2 linked regions of the Rattus norvegicus genome follow. The protein of the gene in region 2 purifies or fractionates together with the protein of the main gene of each other region. This does not show direct contact. Links are inferred from orthologs where the notes say so. Each region holds a gene or a part of one and is shown on either strand. Other genes may lie near its edges. The genes, in order: Cdc6 and Mcm7.

What was found.
Region 1: the proteins of Mcm7 (region 2) and Cdc6 purify together in Homo sapiens (affinity purification with western blotting; 3 studies listed by BioGRID). This does not show direct contact. The link is inferred for Rattus norvegicus from reciprocal best matches to the Homo sapiens genes MCM7 and CDC6.

Annotation. Positions count from the first base shown.
Region 1 is NC_086028.1:84,362,889-84,373,664, reverse strand, and holds part of Cdc6 (cell division control protein 6 homolog), read right to left. Parts: intron 10,700-10,776; coding exon 10,418-10,699; intron 10,313-10,417; coding exon 10,113-10,312; intron 9,269-10,112; coding exon 9,093-9,268; intron 8,491-9,092; coding exon 8,384-8,490; intron 6,777-8,383; coding exon 6,637-6,776; intron 6,088-6,636; coding exon 5,987-6,087; intron 4,204-5,986; coding exon 4,139-4,203; intron 1,681-4,138; coding exon 1,478-1,680; intron 707-1,477; coding exon 566-706; intron 316-565; coding exon 226-315; 3' UTR 1-225. UniProt on the Homo sapiens protein: Involved in the initiation of DNA replication. Also participates in checkpoint controls that ensure DNA replication is completed before mitosis is initiated.
Region 2 is NC_086030.1:22,156,019-22,167,414, forward strand, and holds the start of Mcm7 (DNA replication licensing factor MCM7), read right to left. Parts: upstream 7,161-11,396; 5' UTR 7,102-7,160; coding exon 7,071-7,101; intron 6,624-7,070; exon of another isoform or gene 6,553-6,623; intron 6,391-6,552; exon of another isoform or gene 6,167-6,390; intron 5,762-6,166; coding exon 5,682-5,761; intron 5,084-5,681; coding exon 4,794-5,083; intron 4,722-4,793; coding exon 4,541-4,721; intron 4,276-4,540; coding exon 4,138-4,275; intron 3,821-4,137; coding exon 3,671-3,820; intron 3,503-3,670; coding exon 3,388-3,502; intron 3,307-3,387; coding exon 3,175-3,306; intron 2,952-3,174; coding exon 2,868-2,951; intron 2,759-2,867; coding exon 2,365-2,758; intron 2,103-2,364; coding exon 2,019-2,102; intron 1,377-2,018; coding exon 1,208-1,376; intron 1,117-1,207; exon of another isoform or gene 1,035-1,116; intron 913-1,034; exon of another isoform or gene 826-912; intron 731-825; coding exon of another isoform or gene 695-730; exon of another isoform or gene 480-694; intron 474-479; coding exon 364-473; intron 218-363; coding exon 16-217; and 1 more. Other genes in the region: Ap4m1 (AP-4 complex subunit mu-1), read left to right, coding at 7,534-7,591, 7,692-7,816, 8,276-8,382, 8,459-8,555, 9,970-10,080, 10,163-10,243, 11,115-11,177, 11,258-11,324. UniProt on the Homo sapiens protein: Acts as a component of the MCM2-7 complex (MCM complex) which is the replicative helicase essential for 'once per cell cycle' DNA replication initiation and elongation in eukaryotic cells.

The sequences.
Region 1 (10,776 bases), on a different chromosome or scaffold from region 2:
AGGCATCCGCCATCACACCCAGCACTCGGTCATTTTTATGGGTAAAAACAGTAAGAGCCAAGGACATTAGCCAGTGCTAACACTCAGGAATTCATACACTAAAATTTACTGGTGCGGAGTAAAAAAGGCCGTTAACTGTTTCCGAACGACCTTACTAAAACGAAGACTCCCCCGAGCTGCAAACGCCAGCAGGACGCTTGCAGGTGCCCTAAGGAAGAGAACCGTTCAGGGCAGCCCGGCAGCGAGGATGTTCCCAATGAAAGCTTTGCCTTTTAGGACATGCTCTATCTCCTTTTCTTCAATCTTCAGAGACACCTGCAGAGAGAAAAGGACTTTCCATGATGAAGAAAGAGCACACGCGCTCATAGGCATACACAGTCACACCCCCCATCATAGTTCACTCTCAGACCGGCAGGATAACTGCTGCCGTCCTCAATGGCCCGAATCGAACTGCCCCGTCCTCACATCTTAAGCCCTACCCAGCAGAACTATTCACTTCTAGTCTTTACTTTGGCAAAGGACATGCGCTCCAAGACAGCACGGTTAAAAGCGGGGACTCCTGTACCTTGGTGAGGCGGCTCTCCTTGTTTTTCTTCAGTCCCACAATGCCCCTGGATTCCAGGAGTCCAGAAAGGGACAAACACTCAGACTGGTCTACGGCTGCCACCTGCTGTTTACGACAGACACTACTGTAGGCTTCATATAACTGCGGGGAAATGAGGGAGAACAGATCTCACTTAAAAGCCACATCTCATAACCTTACGGATTGAAAAACAGAAGTAAACCCAGAAACCGTGTCTTGAGTTACCTGAATATCCCCCCCCCCAACCCAGTTTCACTGAACCCTCGAGTAGGCAACAGACCTTTGGTGCCCCAAATACTTTATGATTATCCTTGAAAAAATTCATTCAGTGTGTTTTGCTGGCACGTATTTATGTACATACACCACTTTCATGCCTGATGCCCACGGAGGGCAGAAGAATTGTCGGAGCCCCTGGAGCTAAAATTACAGATGGTTGTGAGCCACTGTGTGGGCGTTGGGAATGGAACCCCGGTCTTCTGCAAGAGCAGCAATTGCTATTGATGGTTGAGTCATCTCACTCGAAGGTAGAACTTAGGAACGGAGCTCTATGCAAGTTCGGTGGGAAACAGAGACGAGACAAAGATGGGTTCTACGCAGCCCCGGAAGGCAACCGTACTGGCTCTGCCTCCTAGGTGCCAGGATCACTCATTATATCACCACATCTGGCTAATGGTCAACTCACTGCCTCTGCCTCCCAGCATTTTGTTCTTAAAGGCACGGGCCACCACTGCTTGGCCTTAGCTCATGTTTTTGAGATGATGCCTCACTACTGTGTAGTCTTGGCTTAGAACCCACTATGTAGACCAGACCGGGTCAAATGTGCAAAGTTCCACCTGCCTCTGCCTCCCAAGTGCAGCGGAGCCTCGGCTCTACCTGCCGAGCCTCGAAGCTTACCTTCCCCAGGGTGACCTCTTTGATTTTTAGCCGCTTGGTCAAGAGCAGCAAAGAGCAAACCAAGATCTTCTGCTGGAGAGGAAGGGAATCCTGTGTGTTTTCTTGGCTCAAAGTCACCCTGTTACCATCAACTCCCGAAATGACTTGGGATATGTGAGCGAGACCGACACGCTTGGGAACCAGCGACTCGCAGGGTGATTTACCTGCAAAGTAAATAAGCAAGACTTATATTTAATTCCTTCCTTCCTTCCTTCCTTCCTTCCTTCCTTCCTTCCTTCCTTCCTTCCTTCCTTCCTTCCTTCCTTCCTTCCTTCCTTCCTTCTCCTCCGAGACAGGGTCTCTTGTGTAGCTGCTCTCGAACTCTGTCCTCTGCTCTGCTTGCCTCTGCCTCTTGAGTGCTAGGATTAAAGATGTGCACCACTACCGCCTGGCACTTTATTCCATTTCTAAAATACGGCCTCTATATGCGTGGAGACGCACAATGCAGGTTTCAGCTAAAAGAAACCCACGTGCCCACGTGACAGCAAAGGTTGTTTCTGGGGTGGAAGATGAGGGGAAAGGCAGTCCCAGAAGGCAGGATTGTCTTTTCCCTGGGAAATAAAGTTCCATTTATCTTGTCCTTTTTTTTTTTTTTTGGTTCTTTTTTTTTTCGGAGCTGGGGACCGAACCCAGGGCCTTGCGCTTCCTAGGTAAGCGCTCTACCACTGAGCTAAATCCCCAGCCCCACCCATTTATCTTGTCCTTTAGAATGTAGTTTAATGTTGAGAAGATAATTAATCTACCCTCCTGAAAAGGCAAGAACCCGGACAGATGCCAACAAGGACGGCTAAGCGTCCCAGAGGCTGTCTGGGGACGAAGCCTGGTGCTCCAGCACTTGCCTTGTGCAAAGCCCCTCAGCCGATCCTGGGCCTAAAACTCTGAAGCAAAGCCCAATAGCAAAAGGAACAGTTGTGGAAAATCATCTAATATTTGGAATCAAGTGGGTGGGTAAGCATGGCTAGTAACTCAGTCCTGGCTTAGGCCCCACACCCCAGATGGCTTTCCCAAATGACCTCTGTCTGAGGTTCCCTCACGTGTCCAAACTATTCTGTAAGACACTTGAGAAAAATGTCGGGGGCTAGCCTAGCGTGTAGCGCCCTCCCCAGAGCTGGAGGCTGGGAACTACGGTGAAGGCACACGGGCCGTGGTGGCCCCACTGCTTGGAGAAGAGCAGCTGCGGGAGAGGCAGGATTTGCTCTCTAACAACCTATGCCTGCAGTTACTTCCTGAGGCCGCCTGCAGTTGCCCCACAACAGCTTCTATTGCTTTACCACAAGCAGGAAGCTGCAGAGGGCTAATAGAGAAACCAGAGCTCACGGATCGAGTAGCAGAAGTTCTACGATAAAAGGAACTCGGGGAGTCTATCCTTACTCCCTCCCCACACAATGGCAAGGTCCCTTCTGAAACAATCCCAGCGTGACACCTATCCCATCCGTCTGTTTCAAGACTTAAGAGTCGTGTCTACGTTCCTGTGCTGGCCTTGAACTTGTACTGGGTGCTTGGATCCCGGGTATGGCCCGCCACCCTTGCCGTCTAGCCAACTTCTTGTTGCTTGTCTTCAATGCTGGGGAACCGAGTTATTTCTGCGCATTAGAAAGTCCCTCTTATTTAGTGGAAGTCACCATCGCTATAGCTTTCTATATAGCCAGCCTCCCGCCCCCAGAAGTCAAAAGACAGGAAGTAGCTCATTCCCATAACCTACACCAGGAACCTGGGAGCTCTTTTAGCAGCGTGCGCCAGTGCTGACCCGAGGGCCACTGACGACCCCAGGGCCACTGACGAGCCTGTGTGTTATTGCTAGGGGAAGGGAGCCTGTAAGGATGGAGTAACCTACAGACAGAGAAAACAGTCTACACATTGGTATACACTGCCTATTCACTGCCCAAGCACTAATTTGGGTTACCATTTGAAAGCCTTTAAACGGCTTCTACCAGTAAATTCTGACGAGGAAGTTTCTATTCTGAACTCTCAACCAGAAGAAACAGGTCAGCCCTCCCTGTTTCTAAAGACTAACGCGGGGTTGGGGATTTAGCTCAGTGGTAGAGCTCTTGCCTAGGAAGCGCAAGGCCCTGGGTTCGGTCCCCAGCTCCGAAAAAAAGAACTAAAGACTAACGCTGGACACCTAACACTGGTAAGTATATGGTTTGCAGCTGAGTGACATCCCCCAGCGAAGAAAAGGGAAACCAGCCTTGTCCGTGACAGCCCCGGGGTCTGTGCTCTGCCTCGCAGACTGCCCTGAGGTGAACTCACGATCTGCGTGCTCCCTGAAGCTTTCTTCCTTTCTCCCCTTTACTTACCAGGCATTACCTTCCCCCACAGAACCACCTAAAGGGCACCAGACATACCCTGAGAGGGTGGCTCAACCTTGCAACCTCATTTTCGTTCCCAGAGCCTAGGAAGAAACCTTAGTCCTCCAGCCCCACCATTCACGAACACCCCTGGGAACTCATTTCTAGTACTACACAGACTGACCCTGGCAGGCAAGACTGCAATGAACCAGACGAAGCCACACCCTGCTCCCTCTTGTATCGGCTGTGGGAAGGGAGATTTAACTGGGTCTTTCCCCCTCCTCAGCAAGGTAACTCTTTAGAAAGGCGGATAGGAAGCAGGTAAGCTACTCACATTCGGAGAGTGGTTTGAGGACTGTCTGGCTCCTGACATCCGACTCCACAATTTCAATAGCTCGCCTATGAAAAAAGATTTCTAAAATTAATTTAGTTTGGGCCAAACCAAATATCACACCAAGCCACCATACCCCAAAGCAGGCACATTAACTAAAAAGACATTTTTAAAAAATTAAGGACCCAGGTTGGAGAGATGGCTCAGCGGTTAAGAGCACTGACTACTCTTCCAGAGGTCCTGAGTTCAAATCCCAGCATCCACATGGTAGCTCACAACCATCTGTAAAGAGATCTGATGCCCTCTTCTGGTGTGTCTGAAGACAGCGACAGTAAACTCATATACATAAATAAATAAAAAAATCATTAAAAAAAATGTCCCTTACAAGTTTGGTGCCCAGCACTCACAACAGGCAGCTCACTCAACCACCCAATGCCCTCTTCTGGCCATCACAGGCACTGCACATACATATAATAGTCACAGCACACATACACACAGCTAAAACAGTAAATATTAAGAGGCCAGTTTACGGGCTGGGGATTTAGCTCAGTGGTAGAGTGCTTGCCTAGGAAGCACAAGGCCCTGGGTTCGGTCCCCAGCTCCGAAAAAAAAAAGAACCACAAAAAAAAAAAAAAAAAAAAAAAAAAAAAAAAAAAAAAAGCCTTTTCACGGGGCTGGGGATTTAGCTCAGTGGTAGAGCGCTTACCTAGGAAGCGCAAGGCCCTGGGTTCGGTCCCTAGCTCCGAAAAAAAGAACCAAAAAAAAAAAAAAAAGAGGCCAGTTTACATAGTGAGTTCCAGACCAGTCAGTTACCCAGGAGACCCTGCTTGAAAATAAACTGGGTTATGTTGTGGCCTAAGAGAGACTTATCTACCTTTAAAATAACAACTCCAGGAATTTAGGAAACACTGCTACTCTTCTCGCTTTTACGATGTCAGGTAGGTTGTCATACACTGAGCCAATAACATTTTAGATGAGGAAAAATGTCTTGGGTAGCCGGGGTATACAGTGTGGGGCTGGACAGCACTCCCACCCAGCAGACCCAAAAGGGGAGTCGTCAGATATAGGAGGACATGTGTTGGCTAATCTTGCTGGCCTGCTGCATGGTCATCACTCATAGCTGTCGGTTTTTCTCAAGTAAGTTTGCTGACTAGGGAGAACTCTCAGTCTAGAGCACACCATCTAGCAACAGGAAGAGCTTCCTCTCCCACTGTTCTTTCTTAAGTGCTTTGCCCACAGGAGGCCATGGGCAGACCTGGATCTTCTGTAAGGCAATAGGGGTAAGTTGGACCAGCGGGCCAGCACAGCAGAGGATCATTTTAATGGACCCAGTGCCCCTACTGGGAGGAAGAACTTTCATCAGTCAGCACAGAGGTTTTCCCCAGCAGGAGGAGCTGGGGGACAGAAGAGAGAAAGAGGTCTAGGGTAGGACTTGGGGGACCACCAACTGGAAGGAGGAAGGGGTGCCCACAAAAGCAAAGGAAAGAAGAAAGTCTGAAGGCAAAAGGTGGTTCAGGTCCATAAATAAACCTGCTTGAGACCAGCGGATGGAAAAGCAAACTCGCATCTTTTTTAATACAAATGTAATTAACCAATCTATAATCACCACGGGGAGTGCTGGCAACATCTCATTTGCTTCTCCCTCCGTAGGTAATGGACTGATAATGTCTCAGACATTAACGCGGTGGAAACCCAGCACTCCCCACTGAGAGACGAGTCCTCTTTTCCGAGCTCGGAAAGAGGCAGAGTGGAGCCTCTTAAGTCATATTCATCTAGGCGACACCAGATCATCAACATCTCCTTTTTTTTTTTTTTCCTTCAATAAAAACAGTCAACCTAGCCATAACTCACCTGCAAACATCCAGCGCTTTCCGGATGTCCCCTGAGACAGCAGATACTTTGCGGGCACAGAACTGAATCGCAGCACTGTCCAGAACCTGGTCTTTTGATACCTGCGGACGAGACCCAGGAGATGATTGAGTCAGGCTTAGTTAACACTGGCCCAAAATCCTAACTACCAGGAGACTACAGCAGGAGGATCTAAAGTCAAGTTAACACAGCGAGACTCTGTCTCAAATAAATGCATAGTAAATAGGAATGCAAAATAAAGAGAGCTCAGCACAAAACACTAGCACGAGAGGCCTCGTGAATTCCGGTACTGGTAATAAATAAAACAGGGACTGAACTCAGGCCATCAGAGCCAGCAGTGACTAGTAAGTGCCTTTACCCATGAAGCCACCACACTGGCCCGGGTCGCACTGTTTAAAAGCCATTAAGGAGTCATGAGCCCTCTAATTCCCACTCTTGTTTCGACAGTGAAATGGCCAATAAGCGAAACCACGTGCAGAAATTCACATAAAAATGTTCTCACTCATTATGGTCTGTAGGCGCTTGCCACACCATTAATAAAGCGATCAGATTGGAGTCTTTTAAACCTATCGTTTGCGTCCCATCGCGGAGAGCATCCCCACAGCAGAACTTGGCCCAGCATCGGCACTCACCTGACTAAGCCTATCCTGCAAGATCGCAGCTATCTGATTCCTGGTGTAAGGTGGGAAGTTCAGTAGCTTCGGCTTACAGCCTTCTCTAGCTTCAAGTCTCGGCAGAATTCTGTCCGTGAGATCCAGGGTATTAGCAATACCTGCGAAGGTAAATAACAATTACCACCAGCAGCAAAATCATCCTAGAAGGAAACTAAGCCCCCTAAGACTCCCAGGCTTAACCCAGCGTTTCAATGGTTGCTTCCGCTTGCCCCATACCCCACACTGGAAGGTAAGGTGGACCTAGTAGGTAGGATGTAGTACTTAGGTGGGGATAGTCGCTCATAGTCCCAACACAGGAGACTGAGACAGGAGGATCATGAATTTGAGGCTACAAGGGATCTTGTCTCCAGGAAGAAGGGGGTAAGAAAAGAGGGCGGGCAGGCAGACTTCTGTTGAATTCTAGGCTAGCCAGGGCTGCAGTGAGACCTGTCTTAAAAAATAAATCTATTGAGCCAGGTGCGGTGGTGCCCCCACTTTGATCACAGCTCTTGGGAGGCAGGCAGATCTGAGTTCAAGACCAGCCCAGTCTACAGAGCTAGTTCTAGGACAGCCAGGGCAAGGCAGAGAAACCCTGACTGGAACACCAAAACAAACCAAAAAAGCAAATCTATTGTTTCAGAATGCGGTATTTTGTGCTTTTCTTTAGAGCACATACGGGAGAACGGAGGCCAGGGCTTTGTGCACGCTAAGCACGTGATCTACCGGCAACTCACACCCCTCCCTGCCTATGTCACTTTGTACGATTGTGTGTTGTATGTACACATGTGTATTTGCGCTTCCCTGTGTGTGTGTGTGTGTGTGTGGGCGGAGCCCAAGTTGGTGTCAGATGTTCTCCTTTAGGGCTCTGCACCTTATTTTTTGAGTCAGGATCTCTCATGCTAATGCAGCAAGAACCTTGTCCAATGAGCCATCTCTTCAACAGCAGCAATACTACTACTACTACCACTACTACTACTACTACTACTACTACCACCACTACTATTACTACTACGCCCTAAATCATGCCCTCCCTGCTTCCTCCTGTGCTGTCTGGCTTCTTTGTCACTTTTTTATTCAGACCTAATAAAATCAATGTGCCTTATATTAGCTTACTCTACCACAGTAACTTTCTTATTTTGCTAAGACAGAAAGCCAGCTCATGATAGGTCTGTAACTTCAGTTTAGGGGATCAGATGCCCTCTTCTGGCCTCCATGGGTATCAGGGACCCAAGCAGGGAAGAACTGCATCCCGGGCAAAACACCTGTGCACATAAAATAAGGAGAGGAAACGAAGGTGCGCAGGGAAATGTCACAGCTCAGTGGATTAAACACTGGCTAAGTACATACGAGGAGCTGGGTTCAGATCCTCAGAAGCCAGGGAGCCAGTGAGCTCCGGGTTCAGCAAAAGTCTCGGCCTCAGTAAATAAAAAAACTGACAGTGAAGAACTGGAGAGATGGAGGGGCTGGGGATTTAGCTCAGTGGTAGAGCGCTTACCTAGGAAGCGCAAGGCCCTGGGTTCGGTCCCCAGCTCCAAAAACAAAAAAAAAAACAAAAAAAAAAAAAAAAAAAAAAAAAAAAAAAAAAACAAAAAAAAAAAAAAAACTTGACGGTAAAAAAATGAAGACCTGAGATGTCAACCTCTGTACACACAACATTCACATATGTCACAAGCTGAACAGACTTGAGACAATTAACAACGTGTCACATTAACAAGCAAGCACTAACCAATGAGCACCAATCGGGAATTGCTTAACCACGGCCACTCAAACAGTGTGTATAACACATCCTGCCCTTTGCTGTCCAGCTGATCCATCTCGTCCAACACCAACACACTACATAGAAAGAGACATCGTTAGTACCCGTCATATTCTCAACCTTCCAAGGCTTGATCTGAGCTAACCTTAGGATGCTTGCCTGAGGTTGGTAACACAACAGCCCCCATCACTAACTGGTATTGTCCAATTGTTTTCAAGGAACTTGCTTAAAAACAGTTACACTTTAAACTAGGCTTGGCAGAAATGATACACGCCTTTAATTCCAGCACTCAGGGGGCAGAGGCAGGCAGATCACAGTGAGTTTAATACTGGCCTGGTCTACAGTGCTAATTCGAGGACAACGAAGGACACACAAAGGAAGCCCCGTTTCAAAACAAAACAAAAAACAAACAAACAAACAAAACACCCAAAAACCAACAACAAACCAAAAAACCCAACCCAAACAAAACAGTTAAAATTTAAACTCAATAATCAGAAAGAAAGCACAGGGGCTGTGGGTGTGACTGGGTGGCAGTACGCTTATCTAACACACACAGAGCCCTGGATTCCAGCCCCAAAACCATCAATAAATAAGTTAGAATGTTCTGAAAATTAAGTTCTTTCCCGGGGTAACACCTTGCAGATTTCCACTGAGCATCAGGCAGCAGAGAAACACTCACATCATGGGGCCCCTCTCGGCTGTCAAGTGCTTTTCCAGCTTTCTCATCAAGTCCTTCCCGGTGGGTCTGCAGAGTTCCTCCCGACCAATCTCCTGAGCAATGGCTGGGAACACGGCCTGAGCGTTCCTCAGGGACATGCAATTCAGCACGATAGTTTTAAAGCCTTTCACTTCCTTCTAGGTTAAAAAGAAAAAAAAAAAAAAAAAAAAAAAAAAAAAAAAAGACGGAAACATGGGAGGTAAGTTGGCTTCAGACAATAACTTCCTCAAACCTGACCAGGTCTCTGAGAGCTAACAGGACACGAGAGCGAAGCTCTGCTTTCTTTGGAAAGACTCATACCCTGAAACAACAAAATGTCTCACTTTTAGGAAGCATCCGATCTCTTAATCATGTATTCTTTCTTAACCCTTAAGAGTCAATTGTTGGGGGTTGGGGATTTAGCTCGGTTGTAGAGGGCTTGCCTAGCAAGTGCAAGGCCCTGGGTTCGGTCCCCAGCTCCAGAAAAAAAAAAAAAGTCAATTGTTGGGGGATGGAGAGATGGCTCAGCGGTTAAGAGCACTGACTGCTCTTCCAGAGGTCCTGAGTTCAAATCCCAGCAACTACATGGTGGCTCACAACCATCTGTAATGGGATCTGATGCCCTCTATATAATAAATAAATTTAAAAAAAAAGGGGGGGGGGGCTGGGGATTTAGCTCAGTGGTAGAGCGCTTAACCTAGGAAGCGCAAGGCCCTGGGTTCGGTCCCCAGCTCCGAAAAAAAGAACCAAAAAAAAAGGAGTCAATTGTTGGGGCTGGAGAGATAGCTCAGTGGTGGCTGCTTTTCCAAAGAACCTGGGTTTAATTCCCAGCACCCATATAGCAGCGCACAATTGTCTAGAACTCTAGTTCCAGGGGACCCAACATTCTCACACAACCATACATGCAAGTAAAATGCCAATGTGTGGGGACACACACAAACATACATAAATATACACATAATGTTTCAGCAAAAGTGTCCATAATTCAGATTCTTAGCATACCTTGAAGTCCTGCAGAATCCGGCTTAAACAGGCAGTTTTCCCAGTTCCAGGAGCGCCAGAAAGGTAGAGACTCCCAGCTTTTTTCCCACAGATGTGCTCCTTCAGGAAATCCCTGATGACACCCATCTCCTGTTCTCTGGCAGGCAGCCGGTCCGGGACAGCTGTATTCAGGACAAGCTTTGCCTGTTGATAGCAAGTGCCTGTGCCGGAATAAAGGTCAATTAAGACACAGCCAAAGGTGACCGGGTTTCATTTGGCTCCACCAGCATAGTTCATGATGGCTAGGCTACCACATAAGGACTCACCTTCCTGCTTGAACAGTCGCATACACGCGGATTCCTTCTCTGGTGGGCATTTCTGCTCAGGATTTGTTTCGCTCTCTTGACCTCTTTGAGCGGAGGAAAGTATTTGGTGCTGGGGAACTCTGTCTTGTTCTTTTGGGGCGGAAGCCTTAACTGCCAGCTCATCATCGAATATTAATCTGCATCCCTTCCGTGTATGTGAGCGAGGGGGGCCGTTTTCCTTCCTGCCCAGCTTGGGCGGAGAACATGGAGATAAATGGGGAGTGTTGCACAGATTGTCATCACCTGAAGCACAGAGCAGAACTCACTCACTCACTGCAATGCTGTCACCCCCAAAAACACTAACTGCAGAATGTGGTCCT
Region 2 (11,396 bases):
CTCAAAAACTGGCTGTCAGACAAAGGTGATCCGTGTCCGAGAAGTATTGACCTGCCAGACATTTAGCTCCTCATATTCATCCAGAGCTGCCTGGAACTGGGCTGGTGTGAAGCCACGTGATATGCAGCGCTGTTCAGCCTCAGAAAAGCGGACACTCCGTCCCCCTGATACCAACTCACGGACGGTAGCAAATATCACATCTGCTGGCCTCTGGGTCCTGAAAGACAAGGATGGAAAAGGTTAAGTGCAAGGCCCAGTAGCCATCAGCACCAAAATCCTGAAGTCAAACTTGTCCATGTGCAGAAGCCACAAAAGTGACCAGCTCAATTATGTCAGGTAGCCCAATTTCATTAAGACACTCACCTAGCCGTTTGTCCCTTTTCACCCAGAAGGGAGTCCTTTGACATCTCCATCAACCTTATGGCTTCATTCACATCTTCCTTCTCCACAATATCTACCATCCGAAGGCGAGCCTAAGGGGAAGGCGTGGGGAAATAGGGATAGGAGGGGAGGAGGGGTGAAACCAAGGATCTCTGCTCTGGCTTCAAACCCGGGCAAGCCACATTCGCCTACTCATAGAACAAAAGTGGGTTCTTCCCTGCCCCCCACATCTGCAGTGTTGGGCCGGCACTGTCAGACCGAGACAAGTGCAATGCCCAGGGCAGCGTCCAGCAATTGCCCGTGTCTCCGCCTCTCAACACTGGCCAGTCCCGGTGGGTGTCCTGCCGTCCTGTGAGGGAGACCAGACCCTTCTGAACTCCACTAGGCTCCCCATCGTGACAAGTGGAGCCTGGGGTGCTCAGCTAGGGCCACTGTCAGAGGCTGTGTCCTGGGGGCTCGGGAAGTGCTAGCTCAGCAGTAGGTCAGGCAATGCACTACCTGCACGAACAGCACTTTGGAGCCCCCATGACTAAAGGTCCAAGAGGGGAGGACAGAAGGAAGACTTCTAAGATATCTAGGGCATCAGGAACTCAAGTCCTTCCAACCCCCTCGTGGATTCAAGCAGCCTTTCCCTCCGTGGGTGTTGCATGTGCCCTGCTGGAGCAGCAAGTACCCACAGTGCGGTAGCACAGAGAGGACCACTATCTGCACTGTCAGCACTTTAGTCCCAGCAGGGCTGGTGGGAGGGAAGAAGGCAGCTTGAAGGACATTAGGTGAGGTGGCAGGCAAGGGTCAGCCTTCTAGCAGACAGGGACCCAGCACTCACCAGAGCAGTAGAAAGTCGGAGAATGGCCAGCAGGGTCCGGGCAGAAGTGTAGGTGGCATCCTTACTGGCCCGGGCCTCTCGCCTCATCTCCACATACGCTGCAGTGATGTAGTCAGCCAGAGAGTCAGGCACTGTGGGCTGCCTCTCGCGGCACATGGCAATGTACCGTCTGTGGGAAACAAGGCTCATGGGAAAGCGGAAGACATGCATGCTTTATAGGAGATTTCCTACTTAATATTCTATGCTGGAAGTGGACAACTATTTGCTTAGGCATAACTGAGGGACTTCTCTAGGCTTCCCAAAGCAAGACAAATGCACCTGCATTGGGCAGATTTAACTCCTCTGAACTTGTCACATAAGGGGACAGACTTCAGAGGCCCAGAGAAAATCAATTTAGAAACCTGCAGATTTGTGAGGTGCTGAGTCATCTGTGCTATGGAAACAGACACGGCCAAAAAGCTATACCTGCCTAAGACAAGAAGAAGACAGTAAGGGAGACCCTTTTATATATGGGGGAGGCCAGTAGTTTTTGGAGACACCCCTAAAAGATCTCTAAAAGATCCCCTTGCCTCAGGATGCACAGCAGCTAAGTTTACTTACAGCCTGCTGCTGTCACCCCAAACCAGAAAAGTTTCTGATGATCCCTTGCTTTGTGGCTAAAGACCCAGGCTCAGTATTCTCAGGCTCAGCTACTTTGAGGGAGGAGGAAGTAAATACATTGTCCTCTGCAGACTGAAAGCTTTTCAGACACACTTGGCATAAGACAATGCCACACACAAGTATTCCCCTGAGACATCCCCATCCCTCTCACCTCATAAGTTTCATGTCCAAAGGTTCAAATTGAGCAGGGGGCTGCCGGCTGTGCTGGTGGACATAGGTTATGTGCTGGGCCAACCTGGAGAGAAGACAAGGCTTTAGAGCTGTAACACCCTGAGATTTTGACTCAGTATCCCTTTTTAGCCCCATCTTTTCTCCAAAGAATGACCAACAGGTCTCCCAGAAAACCCCTCACCATCTTTGCTCCAACCTTCTGTCTCCCCATGAACTGCAGACAAGGAAAGTGTTTACTGTGTCTGAACACAGACAAGTTGAGTTGCTCTGACTTTACCTCCCTTCCCCAAAGTCACTAAAATGGACTGTCTCTATACTTCATTCACCGGAGGTCGTTGTCTCTGTCGGGCCGGTCCTGAATCAGCCAGAGGAGGTCGAATCGGGAGAGCAGAGCAGCAGGAAGCTGTATGTTCTGCTCCAAACTGCGGCGGGGGTTATACCGTCCATAGGCAGGGTTGGCAGCAGCCAGGATAGAGCATCGGGCATTGAGTGTGGTGAGAATTCCTGCCTTGGCAATGGAGATGGTCTGCTGCTCCATAACCTCATGGATGGCTGTGCGGTCAGCTTCTGCCATCTTGTCAAACTCATCAATGCAGCACACGCCCTGGTCAGCCAGCACCAGGGCACCACCCTCTAAGGTCAATTCCCCACTCACAGAGTCTCTCAACACAGCTGCTGTGAGCCCTACACCAGAGGAGCCCCGGCCCGTTGTGTACTGACCTGCAAAGAGAAGCAGCAAACTGCTCCAGAAAGGAACTGCTTTCCCCAGGCCTTCCAAAGGCCTCATAGTACTTAATCAAACACCAAGCCCCATCCCTGCCATACTCACTTCGGGGCGCCAGACGGTCAATGTAAGACAGGAGCTGAGACTTGGCCACACCAGGATCTCCCATAAGGCAGATGTGGATGTTTCCTGGCAAATGTAAAGGAAGCCTGAGTGATCCCTCGACTCAAGTTGTCAACCCAGAGGGAAGAAGAGCCTTTGAGACCTGGACCCCTTCCCAAAGTCCCTACTGCATCAAAGACAAGCACTCAGCCAAGTCACTAACCCTAAGTTGTTATTCACAGACTCACGGGATACTTACATTTCCACCCTCCCAAATAACCCTGCCTTCCAACGCCTCCTGTCCTCCTACCTCTTATCTTCATGCCTTGAGGAGACTGGTCCACACCACCCACCAGGAGCAGTAAGAGCGCCTTCTTCACATCTTCATGACCATAGATCTCCGGAGCAATAGAAGCAGCCAGCTTTTCATAGAAATCTTCCTCTGCAAAAAATTAAGTCATAGCATTTTCTTCAGGACAAGAGCTGGGTAAAGCTCGGCTACGACCTGAGCCCGGGGCCTCACCGGCAATCTGCTTCAGCTCCTCGGCACTCAGCTCTCCGGCCCCAGACACATCATCCTCGCTCTTCGTCATCTTCACAACCCGATGGGCTTCCAGGTAAGTTTCCGAGAGTAAGCCCTGGGCAGAAGAACGCCAGTGTACAGATGTGTTCCCTTTAAGTTCCCCATCACCAGAGTCCCCGAGAACTTCTAAGTTCCAGCTTAGTGGCTTTCATTTTCTCAGGGTGTTAAGAGTGGGTAGATGAGGTGGAAAGGCAGTTATTCCCTCATTTCCCAACACCCTCACCTGTGCCATCTGTTGGAACCCTGTGCGCAAGACTGGCAAGAAGATGCCAGTGACGCTGACATGGTCACCAGGCTGGGCAATCCTTGTGTTCTCTCCTTCTAGAACCACTGTGATGCTCCGAGGGATGTTTCCCACCGGAACTTGGTCACTCTAGGAGATTGGGGGGAGGGCATGACACAGAACACATGAGACAAGGAGAAAAGTAAGGCAGATAGAGACCTAGCCCAACTGTATCACCCCAGAAGATGCCCATTTTACGGTTAAGATTCAGGTTAAGATTAGAAGACCTCATCAGGAAGGAAGCTGAATTCTTCTCCTCCCAACGCAACCAGAAAATATTTCAATTAAATCACTTCCTGACTTTCTGATTTAGAGCAAATAAAAAAAAATTCTAGGCAAACCTCTTTCCCAATCTTTCTTCCTGCCATTTCACAACCAGGTGCAGGACTTATATCCCCCAAACTTACATGTTCTTGAATCTTCATTTCCTGGAATTTAATAAATTTGGAGCCACGAGTCTGTAGGTACAGCCGCCCCCCTGAGCGGTTGGTTTGGCACTCCTGGCTGGGGCACATGATCAGAGGCATGAAGGTGGGAGACTGGATCTAGAAAAAAAAAGGAAGGAAACAGGAAATCAAGCCTTACAATCACCACAGCAATCATTTCTGCTGTGTCAAAACATTTTCAAAGTATAAGAGCCTCTTGAAATATTCCAAGTCAAAACAACCAGAGATCAAATCGCTAACAAGAATTAAATGGATACCAAAATGTTTGTAATAGCCTGGGAGAAAATGATAGATTACAATCAGTGGGACAATTTCAAGGACAGAGAACAGAGGCCTATTTTTCTTTTCCCTATTGTATACATACCGGCTGGTAGGTCTCTGCCCCACATTGATCGCAAGTGTATGTGGCCACCACCATCCTGGGCTTGACTTCAGACACACGAGTGACAATCCCACGCACAGTTAACAATTTCCCTACAGAATCAGCCCGTACTTCCCGGATCACTCGAGGCTTGCTGCTACTTGGGCCTTGGAAATACAACTCACTAAGAGAAAGAAACATTTGTCAACAAGGCCCTGGAGAGCAAGTCCCTGCCCCTTCCCACAGAGGTACTTACAATCTACGCATGAGCTCAGAAGGATACTGGTTTTGAGGGTTCCGGACTGCCCCAGGGTCTCTGCTCCGCTGCTCCATCATCAATCGGTGTTCAATGTAAACATCCAGGACATCCTTATTCACCACCTCCTTCTCCTTGTACTCAGGCAGAAGCTCCTGTACTACGTCAGCAAACAGCCTCGAGTAGCGCTTGGCATTCTCGCAAATTGAGTCGACCAACTCAGGGTCATCTTCAGCTACATCATCTAGGTCCACGTACAATGCCACTTGTTCCCGATGAGCCAGATGAACCTGAGGTAAGGAAGAGACAGTAACACTTTAGAGTCAAGTTCACCTCACCCACAAAAGCGCTTCTAAGTCACTGGCCTACCTCCCATGGGGAAAAACAGAATAGTGTCCAGCAGAGTGACAGGTGTTCCCAATCCCAGCACTTAGGATTTAGAAGACAACAGAATGAGGAGCTCAAAGCCAACCTTAGCTATGTAACTACATAGGGTGTTCTTGATGCTGGTCTGTGCTACACACAGACTATCCCTAAAAACCAAGAGCTAGGCATGGATGAGAATGCTCAGCAGGTTAGACACTTGCCATCTAGCCAGATGACCTGAGCTTGCTCTTCAAAACACATGTGGTGGGAGACTCCCACAAATTGTCCTGTTGACCTCCACACATGCTATGGCATGCCCATGTGAGCACAAGCATACAGGAATAAATACAAGTAAAACAGCTAAGAAAATCCAAAAGTAAACATAGAAGAACTCAAAACTTTGTATAAAAACAATCAAAACCAAGTCATTCACTGATAGCCATTCTTGCTATCACAAGGTAGGGCACCTTATACAAGTTCTTACACACCACTCCACTCCCCATAACCCACCCTGAGACTTACCAACTGGGTCCCATACTTGAACTGCTTCTTTCCAAGCTCATCATCATAATAAAACTCTTGCAGGAACTTCTTCACTTTTTCTACAAATATGAAATAAAATATCTTTGTGGACAGTGAGGTGTAAAGCCCACGCCAAGTCTGACAACTGGAGTTCAATCTCTGGGACCCACCCACAGGTTGGAAGAGTTCTGCGGGTGTCTAGCACCCAACTGTAAGCTGTGATGTGCCCGTGCAAACGCGCACGTGCTCTCACAAACAATAACGTAGCAAAAAAACTTAAAAACAATCACTCTCCCTTTTGGATTCTTTATTTCAAACTCTTAACGGAAAACTAAGAAACCCGCTTGGCGGGACTTATGAACTAGTTAGTTAAATGAACATTCAAAACAAATCTACCAAGTTCTCAAAGTAGCAGTGCTCCCTTTCACAAGTCTGTTTTTACCTAGGGAAGAATATAGGTCCCTGGGCAGTTACAATAATCTTACCTAACCACCCTCAAGAAATTCCAGTGTCTGCCTTAGTTAGGAACCTCAGTTTCTTCAATTCTCTCAGCTTGCTCACAGTCGACCTAAGACCCTCGGTTCTCCCTCTACCAGTACAGTACAGCTCTTTCTTTTCCGGCTCCCGCCAGAACGTCTGCCACTAGGCCTCCTTCGGCACCCCATGCCCGGCTCCCGCCACTGCTTCCGCTCTTAGTAAACAAAGAAGCACATGGGCCTGGATTCCAGCCGCCTCACAACCCAGGATTCCTCCGCCTGAAACCGGTGGCCGTGCGGGGATTGGCCAGAACTCCAAAGGGCCACTCGGATTCACCATACTGCCAACGCTCACCGCCCGGCGCTCAGCCTCCCAATCCCAGGCACGCCCCTACCTAGAGCAGTTATCTCCGATGCCACCGCGCGGAAGGACACTGTTTACACACGACAGCCCTCCGATCAGGTAGCGCCATTTCCGCCCGCCTCTACTTCCGCTTGGAGGGCGGCCGAAAACTACCAATCGCGGAGCGGAGCGGTCCAGCAAGCCCCGCCTCTGGGCTCCGGCGCGCCTCGAGTGCACGCGGGAATTTGCTAGTGCCCCAAGGCGCAGAGGCTGGTCTAGTAACCCAGTCCCTCAAACCCCGTACTGAAGGCTCCACGTCATCTGGTCTTCCCCGAGCACGCCCCTCCTCTTTGTGGCCTTCACTGGGTTCTCTCCCTAACACAACCACATCATCTTTTCCAAGCAGAATTGCTTCCTCCATTCTTAATGCCCATTGCTTATCCCAGGTGCAGTTAGCTTGTCCCCAGAGTCACAGATCTCGGCTCCCCCCAAGACCCAAGCTCCCCTCAACAGGTGTAGGTAGAGAAGTTTCCCTCCGAGGACGCCGTTCCCAGCCCTATAGAGCATCACCTTTCTCAATCGCATAGTCCTTAAGCGCCATCGCTGCCGGGGACCGTGCGGCAAGACTTAAATGGTTCTGAAGTCTCACTCCGGGGAAGCAGAAAACGAACGCGCAGCGGTACGTAGCTCTCCAACCGAAATTGGCGCGAAACGTCGTCACCCATGTGACCCATACGGCTAAATACGGGCCAATCAGAGAGGGGGTTCCCAACCGCTGCCGGCCCCTAACTTTAACCAATCACTGGATGAATCTAGATTGAATGACAGAGAGCTAGGGGGCGGGCCGGTGGAAGATTGCCTGATTCTGCTGGGTTGGGCACCCGATTTCCCGCGGTTCGAAATTAATGCTCGCGAGTGTGTGTGTGGGAGGAGTTTCTTAAAGCGCCAGCCTCAGTGCGGCCTTTTGTTCCGTGTCCGCAAGGCGGGGTGGGTTCAACTTTCACCGTCTTCTTGTCTATCCTTCAGAACGGCCATGATTTCCCAGTTCTTCATTCTGTCTTCCAAGGGGGATCCGCTCATCTATAAAGACTGTATCCTTTGGACCGGGAGACGGGATAGGGGAGGTGGGTAGAAATCGAAACCAGGCCAGTCTGTGTCGCCTGCTCCTTAACTATCTTTCCATCTGGCTAGTCCGAGGGGATAGTGGTGGTCGTGATGTGGCCGAGCTCTTCTACCGGAAGCTGACGGGACTGCCGGGAGGCGAGTCCCCGGTTGTCATGGTAACTACTGTGGCAGGCGAGCAGGGGCTTAGAACTGTGGAGGTGGGTGGGTGCCTCATCTCTCCCTGTCAAGGGCGGCTTGGTAGGAAGAAGCTTTTTTTTTTTTTTTTTTTTGGATGTAATGAGCAAAGGCGAGGTTTATTACGGAGATCTATTATGGGGATCTCCGGGCCGACATGTATCCCGCGCAGGAGACAGAGGTGTCGACCAGGAAGAAGCTTTTAAGGAGGAAGGATTCGTTTCTCCAAGTAAGATAGATGAGTACTGACAAGACGCCAGATGCAGAGCCTTGCATCCCCATCTCTAGACTATCAATAACTCAGAGAGGTAGGTGCTACCTTTACACGTTAGGTGGCCAGGTCTTAGGTCTCAGGGATCGCCCAGCGTCACACTTCTACCATCACGATTGGAGACCCCAGGGTGCTATCTTGCAGGCTACATTACTACAATTCTGGTCTTTTGTTAATAATGCCTCTGTCCTCAACTCTGCCTTAGTATCACGATGATCGTCATTTTATTCACATCAGACACAGTGGTCTCTATTTGGTGGCCACAACTTCAGAAAATGTCTCTCCTTTCAGCCTCCTGGAGCTACTTTCCAGGTGAGTGGGGCTGGAACAGGCACGTAAGAAGGAGTGTATGAGAGGTTTATTCACACAATCCGCTGTGTTTCCTTAGGTTAGCCACTCTCTTGGGTGACTACTGTGGCTCACTCAATGAGGGGACCATCTCACGGAATGTGGCGCTTGTCTACGAACTCCTGGATGAAGTGCTGGTAAAGCTCAAAAACTTCCCTCTTTTTAAAGTTTATTCATGTTTGCGTGTGTGCATATATGTATTTGCCCACACCACTGCATATGTGTGGAGTTGAGAACAATTTGCTGGAGTCAGGTCTCTTCTACTTGTTGTGGGGTCTATTTAAATCCAACATAAATCCACCATAACTCAAGCACTAGGTCAATGCAGATGACAAAACTGTACTGTAATCGGGCTGCCGTCTGATCAGGGCTGTAGAACAGACCCGGGAACTGAACTACAACCTGAAGAGAAATTGCCTAGCATATTTAAAGGGTGACCCCACAAAGTGAAGGAGAGTGAGGTGAGCTATATCACTGTCCAATCATATGTTGACATAAGGGGTTGAGCAAAGGACCATTCACCAATCAGATTAGGAGTAGTTTTCTTGGGCTTAGTTGATCTTGCCAGCAAGATGGAGAAGTTGTCCTTGAGGTGTCTGAACTCACTGTTCTCTTACAAGCTGTGCCTGAGAAGGCAGGACTCAGACAACTCTGTACGAATTGTCCCTAAGATGTCTGAACTCAGACAACTGTTTACAACAGAAGCTGCTCTGCTACCGGGAAGTCCCCAGACCCCCTAGGGCTTGGGATCTTGAATTTAGTTTCTTTTTATGTAATCATGGAGTATGAGAATTATGTATGGAGTCTGAGAATGAAATGATAGTATTTAGAATAAGTTTCTTTTGCTTGTTCCCAACCAACATACTGTCTAGGTCCCTGGGATTGAAATAAAGTTGACTGGCTTGGTAGCAAGCATCAGCAGAGTCATCTCACAGGATCTCTGTCTGTCTCCATGTGTGTCCTTCTCTTTCCAGTCCTTTGCTGGTCATGGTGGTATATGCCTTTAATATAGCAGCACCCAGAGGCATTCCCAGTCTACATAACGAGGCCAGCCAGGGTTACATAATGAGATCTTGTCTCAAAAAATTACAATAAGGGGTTGGGGATTTAGCTCAGTGGTAGAGCGCTTGTCTAGCAAGCGCAAGGCCCTGGGTTCGGTCCCCAGCTTTGAAAAAAGAAAAGAAAAGAAAAGAAAAGAAAATTAGAATAAGCAGCCAGCCATAGTGGCACACTCAGGATGCAGGGGCAGGGGAATGGCCCTCTTGAGTTTAAGGCCAGCCTGATATGTGCACTAAGCTAACTAGATTGCAAGTCTCCTGTGGTTCTCCTGTCTCCATCTCCCGTCTCTGAATGGGAACCCTGGGATGGCAGATGCTTCTTACTATGTTTCGGGGATTGAGCTCCACACACTTGCTCAGCAAGCCTTTACCCACTGAACCATCTCCCTAGCTCCAAGGACTTTGTTCTCGTATCCCGTGCTACGGTGAAGAAATGTCCTCTCTTACTGGGTGTGTGGTTGGGAGGCTACATCCACACTCTTTCCGTCCATAGGATTACGGCTATGTGCAGACTACGTCCACAGACATGCTGAGGAACTTCATCCAAACTGAAGCCGCGGTCAGCAAGCCTTTCAGCCTCTTCGACCTCAGCAGCGTCGGTCTGGTCAGTCGCTGGGAAGGAAGAGGGGCAGGAGGGTCGGCTCTGAGTACAAAGCTGAAGAGTGGTTGCTTTGGGTACTTTACAGTTTGGGGCAGAGACGCAGCAGAACAGAGTGGCCCCAAGCAGTGCAGCCAGCCGCCCTGTCCTGTCCAGTCGTTCTGACCAGGTAAGGGAGGGATCGGTAGGGCCAGATTTGATGATTTTTTTGGCCTACAACCCTGAAGTCGTAAGAATCAGCTTATCTTTCTGCTCCTTTGACATGGCATCCCTTCCTTTACTCCTGGGCCCCCATCCTAGGACTCTTCTTCAACTTTCCGTCCCTTCAGCTGCCTCTTTTGTCTTATGCATGAGTGTGTGTATGTGCAGAGCAAGTTTTTGTGTGGAGGCCAAAGGACCAGGCCTTTGATGTCATCCCGGGGAACGCCATCCACCTCCTTGGAAACATGATCTTTCACTAGCCTGGAGCGCACTGACCAGGTCGGGCTGGCTGGCCCACCAGTGAGTCTCAGGGACCTGCATGTCTTCACGTCCCTAGTGTAGGTTGTAGGTTACCTATAATAACCTGTATTGCCTTGGCATCAGACTCAGATCGTCATATTTATGTGACAAGCACTTTTTTTTTTCTGACTGAGCCATCTCTGTAGTTCCTCTTATTTTGCCTTTTTGATATAAGGCTGTCCTTGGGTCCTCCAACCCAGGCTCTCACCTTGTAACCCAGGCTGACTCACGACAGTCCTCCTGCCTCAGCTTCCCAAGCGCTAGATTACAAGCATGTGTCACCATTCCTGACTTTGCCTGTCTATTGAAAGACAGGTTTTTCCAGACTGGGTGTGGTAATTCATGCTTTTCATCCGAGCACTTGAAAGGCAGAGGCAGGTAGATCCCTGTGAGTTCATGGCCAGCCTGGTCTACAAAGCAAGTCCAGGACAGCCAGGGCTCTTTTACACAGAGAAACCCCATCTCAACCCTGTCTCGAAAAAGACAAACCAAAACAAAACATGTTTTCAGCTCCGTAACTCAGATCCTCTCTTTCTTAGAGCCAAAAGAATGAAGTGTTTTTAGATGTGGTCGAAAGGCTGTCTGTTCTGATTGCATCTAATGTAAGTCTGGGTCCCCTGCAGGAGGTGAAGGGCAGTGGTACCTGGGGAAGGCTGAAGCTTAACGTTCTTTCTGCCTCCAGGGCTCCCTGTTGAAGGTGGATGTCCAAGGAGAGATCCGGCTCAAGAGCTTCCTCCCCAGCAGTTCTGGTGAGGGCTGATGTCGGTGTGATGCAGGCTTCCTTGTGATGTGTATGCTGGTGTTTGCTACTCCTTCTCTCA